Nothobranchius furzeri: one gene and its partner. The protein of the gene in region 2 binds, or shares a complex with, the protein of the main gene of each other region. Links are inferred from orthologs where the notes say so. Each region holds a gene or a part of one and is shown on either strand. Other genes may lie near its edges.

Region 1 (3,755 bases), on a different chromosome or scaffold from region 2:
CTCCAGTCGGGTCCAATCCGGAGCAGCTGGTGAAACTGGTCTTTGGAGAACACAAACATTGATCCCCGACCCAAAAACCTGAGACAAAGAGAAGAACATGGAGAACAAGGAGGAACAGCAGCTATTAATTGAGACCCGATCCATACTCACCCATTGATGGAGGTACGCGACACCAGAGGGTTGAGGACCGTCGACACGAGGGAGTGATAGAGCTGTGTGAACAGCCAGCTGGACTTCTCCTTGCTGCGCCTTAGAAAAGCCTCAGTGTCCGAGTCCAGGTGACTCTGAACGAAAACGTGTCGTGCTGATTCTCCAAGCAGGTTAGAGCAGCACCGGTACCACTGGCCAAGGAAATGGAAAGTCACAAACCTGTCTCTATGTAAATAACAGACTAGAGGCCGACCAATGTGGGGTTTCTTGTAAGGCCGATGCCGATTTTTAAAGAGTTTTGTTGCCGATGGCCGATTATTAAGGCCGATATTTATATACGTTTTAGCAGCACACTGATTGTGAAAGACAACTGAACACTCACTGTGTGCAATATAAATTAAATAAGTCAATAAATATCTTTTTATTGAATTTCAAATATAAAACAAATTCAAAACATTAAAAAAACGGTGTGTTGGGAATAGGGAGCCTAAGCCACGCCCCCTACCTCTGGACCACGGGTCCCCGGAAGAATGAAAAAATGAATGCAAGTCAATGGGGTTAAAAATGCTATTTTCTAATTCTGCTTGTTTTGTGCCATGGATTTCACACGTAATGTCCGTGAACTTTAAAGACACATTTTGATCCCAAGAACGCATTTATTTTCGAACGGGGGAAACGTTACTTTAGGTTTTGTGTGAAAATAAGCCCAGGACTACAAATGCGCTTCACGAAAGTGACGTCATCGAACCGGACACGGAGAAAACAGGGAAAATGGCTGTAAGTTCAGCAAACTTCCCACAGGAGGAAAGAACCGCCATAAATCTGGTCATGTGGTAAGTAGCAGCTATGCTAGGGGGGAGGAGCTTATGTGGTGACGTCACATATGCAACGTACCGATTTCTGGTGTATAGTCATGCTAATTACGAACGTTTACAAGCTGATAAATCTCAAAGTACGTCATTTAAATTGCAGTAAAACATGTGTGATCCAGGGCGTGAAGCAAAGCGGATTAGAAAATAGCTGTTTCGTTCTTCCGGGGACCCATGAGCTGATCGGAAAGGGAGGAGACTTAGGCCCCCTATGAAGTAGTCAATCGTCGTCAACGTAACATGATTTACAGACTACATGTGACCAACTAGCATTTCTCATTCTACCACCGGATGTTCGGATCAGAATGGGAACCAATCAGATCTTAGATCAGGTGAGAGCCAGATTTAGCAACCAGTGGAGAGCAACTGCAGTGCCTGGCTCCAACATCTGCAACCGCCTTGATCTCACGGGGTTATCGTTGCCTACGTAGGCATGACATCAGTGCAAGTCGGCGTCAAGTCGGACACAAATCTACCCGGCATGCACTGCACACCGATCATCGGTAATCTAATCTGTGCAGAACTGGCCCATCTCGAGCACGGCCAATGACAACGAGTACACTACGGCAACTTGAAGTGGTCAATTCCACCTTTTCTTTGTATACTTTATTGATCATATTTAGATATGACGACGCCATTTCAGAACATGTAAGCAATATAACATGTTATAGAGTGGCTCCAACGTGGTTGCAATCCCGGGGTTTGTAGTCAATTATCAGTTAGAAATAAGAAAAACAGTGAAGTATGAACAGCAAAAAACAGAATACGGGGATATAAGTGGGATAAGACGAAAGACAAAGAATACATGTATATAAATGGGAGTTTGTCAAGAGGAGAGCTGGTAAAAGAGCAAGGCATTCTTCCATATTCTAAAATCACCTACAAGAGGGTTTTTAATGAAGCTTCATGGCATTAACTGTGGACATTTTATCTAAGGGTTTCACAGCAGTTTCATCTCACTTCAGTGGACTTGGAAGACCTCCCTACCTCCTGCTTCTCAGCCGCCGGAACCTCCTCGCTGTCGCTCACCATGGTCATGAAGAGGGACCGGACCAGGGGGCTGCGGACGTACTTACCGCTCCACATCCTCCTGAAGGACAGCAGGAAGGTGATGTAAAACACCACCCAGGCCACAAAAACCAGCGCCCTCAGCTGCAGGGGACACATATGGACATAAGAGTCTTTGCAGGACAGGCTGCTGTGTCCAGGAAGTCCAACCAGCAGTCAGACGGGTGGAGACAACACGTCTGAGGTGAAAAACAACAAAGCAACCAACCTGAAGCGGACGTGGAGGGGCAGAGAAACAACTCACGGGTCTGCTTCCGCCCACAACAAAAGTCACTTCCGCGTCCTGCGCGCGCTGCGTCCTGCGCGCGTGTCCAAGGAAGGTCCCGCCATTCTCGCCTCTGATTGGCTGGAAGGGCTCTCCTACGATTGGCTACTGTTTTCACGCACTAAGCGTTTTTAAGATTACAGCCAGATTTTGAGGAGTTTTTTGAAGAAAATGTGAACGCATCGCTATAACAAACATCCTTTCTTGTTTCGCAACAAACTAGTTTCAGGTTCTTTCATAAAAGAACCTGAAAAACGTCAAATGTGAACTTGTAATAAATCTTGTTGCATTTTATCACTACTTTATATCTGTTGCCTTGCTATTGGGGTTATCTTATTACTTAATTATTAGGCTTTCCTATGTTTTCACTTTAACAGTTTAAGGCTGTTAACAAGTTAGAGCACATCTCTCATCATCAGATTCAATTTGTATAATTTAATCAATAATTAAGTCAAAGCTGATCATGATTTGGACCAGTTTTTCACCCGTTTTCATTATTTTAGAAAAGAAACAGACCTGATGCACACAGCTGGGCAGAATAAGGCAGTTTTATTAAATTTCACACCCAGGTAAGGCACATATGGTTTTCCTATGCTATAATGGTATATGGTATACAACAGAACTACACAAGATGAAAACAAATGGCCGTGCCCTGGAGCGTCTGTTTACCTCCAAGGGGTTGCTTGTTCATAAACTGGCCTACCGGGACCATCAAAGAACATACTCTAGAGCACTCACTGCCGCCAGGTCAAAATATTTTTCACAGAAATTCGTAAACAGTGCTGGAAACTCAAAGCAGCTATTCTACACCATAAATTCACGGCTAAGCCCTCCTACAAATCCACATACTGACACTAGCATAGATAAATGCAATAGGTTCATGGACTTTTTTACCAACAAGGTGGCATCAGTCCGATCCTCCATCAGTCGAACAGTTCGGCATCCGTTTGACTCCACCCTTCCACATACAATAAATACCTTTTCTGATTTCTCAGCAGCCACCCAGACGGAGGTGGAGAAAACAATAAAAAGCATGAATACCTCAACCTGCCCCCTTGACCCTCTCCCGACACAACTGTTCAAATCAAATATTACAGTCATCAGTCCATTAATCACTACAATTATAAACCAGTCATTACACTCAGGTCAGGTTCCCTCAGCCCTCAAAACTGCAATAGTCCGTCCCCGTCTGAAAAAGCCCTCTCTAAACGCTGCTATCTTGTCCCGTTACAGACCCATCTCCAACATACCGTTCTTAGCTAAAATACTGGAAAAACTGTAGCACGCCAACTCCACAATCATCTCATTACTCATAATCTGTATGAAAAATTCCAGTCCGGTTTCCGTTCAGCCCACAGCACAGAAACTGCCCTGGTCCGTGTTAGGAATGATTTACTTCTAAC
Region 2 (2,928 bases):
ACTTGGATCCTTTGAGGTGAGTTTTAAATTTTTTCTTAAAAAAAAAAAAAGTCTTTTAAGTTTTGTTTTTTTTAAAGTTCTTCAGAAACTTCCATCCAGAGGCGTCGGTTACCTTCCTTTTGGTGCAGCCCGACTGCACCAGGATGGCAAAGTCTCCAATCTCATGAGGGACCTCATGCAGCAGGATGGTCAGGGTGGTGACAGCGCCCACTGCTGGTCCGACTAGAAATGACGCGCCGATCGCCAAGCCATCTGTGAAATTATGTGTGAAGTCGGCTGCCAGGTTCAGGTAACCAGACACCTTGATGTCTGATTTAAAGGAAACAAAACAAAACTTGAGTCACAAAAAAAAGGATTGTTACGTAATAAAGATACTTTTTTTCCTCGAACTGCATTAAACAGAAATGTGGTCATTCAGCCGTTTTCCACCGAGTTGCACCAAACAAACACGCAGTTCATGGTTTGACCAGTAGATGGAGCTCTTTCATGTTCGATAAACACGCCCACCTGTGCTCTTTTTCTCCTCTTTTTTGGGCACTTTTGCAACTTTATTTCCTTTCTCTTCTTTCTTCTGTTTTTCCTTCTCATTCTCTCCATCACTGTCCTTTTCCTTGGGAGCAGCTGATGGAATAAAAGCAGAAAATTAGACTCATTTCTAACAAGTCCCTAACAAGACTCTCTAACAAGTTCGATGTGTTGAGTTTAGCGACATCTTCTGGCCTAATTACAGATTGCAAGCCACCTCTAAAGCTATTTTAGAGGCCACACAAGAAGAAGAAGAAAATATCATTTCTATAGCGCCTCTCAAGATAAAAATCACGAGGTGCTTCACAAAAACAAAAAATGTAAAAATATAAAAAAGAATTTAGAAAATGGTTAAAAATATTTTTAAAATGAGCAAAAAATAGACAATTGTGATTAAAAAGAATGTTAAGAAAGAGAGTGAATAGGAAAGAGGGAAATCAGTGGATCCTGAGGAAGGTGGTATAGGTGGGGAGAGCAGAATAACGTTGGGGACACACCGGCCGCCGAAGCTCTGCGAAACGGGGACTGGTTATCCTATTTTATAGACCACATGGGCCGCCGAAGCGCCGCACGCCGGCGTTCCAGCCCGCGCCGTGCAGCAATCGTTTCAGCGTCTGCTCTATTTTTTTCGCGAGCCGCGGGTGAACCGCGTCAATTCTGGCAGGAAGTCAAACCTAGACATGAGAGGCAGGCCGGTAAATTTAACAAAATAAAGCATTTCAAAATACAATTCCGCAATAGTCAAATGTGTTCGTAAACAGACACTGCATAAAAACCACACAAACACACACACACACACAGCGAACTTGTGTGAGTGTGTGTGTGTGAGTGTGTGTGTGTGTGTGTCCACGTGAAGGGTGTGTGGTTTTGGGTGTCTTTCAACCAGAGCAAACAGGACAGAGCGGCAGAAAGTCGTAGGCCAGCTATTAACAACTGGTTCACACCATTGGTTCACGCACACACGTACAAACACACACACAAACAGCAAGGGGGAGGGGGGTGTCGATAGCCTAGTGAACTAGACCAAATTCTTGCTTTGCAAAGTTTGGTCTAGGCACGCTCCATTGGAACCTCCGCAGCTCCTACCAGGACTCTGGCTAGCCAATCACAGCTCTCTAGAGGGGTTTCAAACACATAAAGAACTGTGATTGGTCCATAATGGTGGGTCAATCATAGTGCTCTATCTGCTTAGTGAACTAATCACAGAGCTTTATCTGCTTTGTGGGTCAATCAGGGCACTCTATATGCCTGGTGGGTGGGATGATGCAACAGCGTGAAACAAGAGTATGTCACATTCATTGTCCAGTAGCATGCGGAGATCATTTGAAAGACAACGGTAGAACCCGCCCCACAACTGAGAGCCGTCAATGGAGCGTGGCCAGACTAAATAATACATTTATTTAGTCTGGCTTGCCAGGCTAGGGTGTCGAGGAAAAGAGCAGAGAAAAGGCGGAGAGGAAATGGAGGACACCAAGTGGTTAAAAGAAACTACGAGGCGCGCCTCGACCGGAGCGGAGAAACAAGCGTCTGGTCTGAACTGAGGAGCAGCGGCCGAATTTCGTGAGTGCTTCGCCTCCCGGCGCTTCGGTGTCCTCGGTGTAAAGAGAGAGAGGTGAAGAAGGTCAAACAAAAGCCAGCTTGAACAAGTGAGTCTTCAGCTGCTTTTTAAAGGAGACCACTGAGTCCACTGATCTCAGGCTCAGGGGGAGAGAGGTCCAGAGTCTGGGGGCCACAGCAGCAAAACAAAAACCCAAACATCCCATAGAGAGCAGGTGTTTGTAGTCATGTGATCATGTGAGGTATTGGGGGGGGGGCTAACTATAAATTATTGTTCAAAATGATAAAAACCTTGTTTTTTCATAGTTTTACACAAAGTTGATTCTAACTGTTAAACACTGAAATTAGGACAAAAACACTTGAATCAGATTTATTTTAAAAAGGAGTTTTCCAGAAAAAAGTGTGTGTACCTTGCGAGTGAGAATGCCCGTGACTGTGTCCTCCCTTCAGCAGACGGACAAACTTCTCAACCGCCAGGAAGGCGATGATCCCACCGAGAACCCACAGACCTACAGACATCATGTGACCGTGGGCGGCTCCTGTGGAGGGAGAGGGTCAGGTTAGGATCCTGATCCGTGTTTTTATGGTCTGGTTGTGAAGCATCTACGTACCGTGGGAGTGACCGTGGCCGTGTGATTGCTCGCTAGCGTGCGAGTGGCCTTCATCTCCATGATGAGAGTGGGGTTCTGTGTGGAAAACACACCGGGAGGAATCAAACGTAATCATTCAAGAAGACAAACTAAAAGTTCTGTTATTGTTTCATTTCAAATGTTTGAGACAGATTCAGCATAAATAGCCTTCAAAGTTCCTACCCAAAGCGTGAGGGATGAGGTGGAGGAAGGCGTC

What was found.
Region 1: the proteins of slc39a7 (region 2) and mettl9 are in contact, whole or in part, in a crystal structure (PDB 8GZE), measured with the Homo sapiens proteins. The link is inferred for Nothobranchius furzeri from reciprocal best matches to the Homo sapiens genes SLC39A7 and METTL9. Residues at the interface, in NP_001070984.1 of Homo sapiens: Gly65, His66, Thr67, His68, Glu69; in NP_057109.3 of Homo sapiens: Arg114, Thr115, Asn118, Arg123, Gly124, Met126, Met179, Asn210, Asp213, Arg214, Val241, His245, Tyr247, Glu249, Trp255, Tyr295, Leu296, Cys297, Glu298, Asp300, Tyr306, Val307, Leu308.

What each region holds. Positions count from the first base shown.
Region 1 is NC_091756.1:2,151,365-2,155,119, reverse strand, and holds the start of mettl9 (protein-L-histidine N-pros-methyltransferase), read right to left. Parts: upstream 2,287-3,755; 5' UTR 2,187-2,286; coding exon 2,007-2,186; intron 342-2,006; coding exon 151-341; intron 79-150; coding exon 1-78. UniProt on the Homo sapiens protein: Protein-histidine N-methyltransferase that specifically catalyzes 1-methylhistidine (pros-methylhistidine) methylation of target proteins.
Region 2 is NC_091759.1:22,345,454-22,348,381, reverse strand, and holds part of slc39a7 (zinc transporter Slc39a7), read right to left. Parts: coding exon 2,895-2,928; intron 2,769-2,894; coding exon 2,694-2,768; intron 2,622-2,693; coding exon 2,493-2,621; intron 622-2,492; coding exon 508-621; intron 310-507; coding exon 113-309; intron 1-112. UniProt on the Homo sapiens protein: Transports Zn(2+) from the endoplasmic reticulum (ER)/Golgi apparatus to the cytosol, playing an essential role in the regulation of cytosolic zinc levels.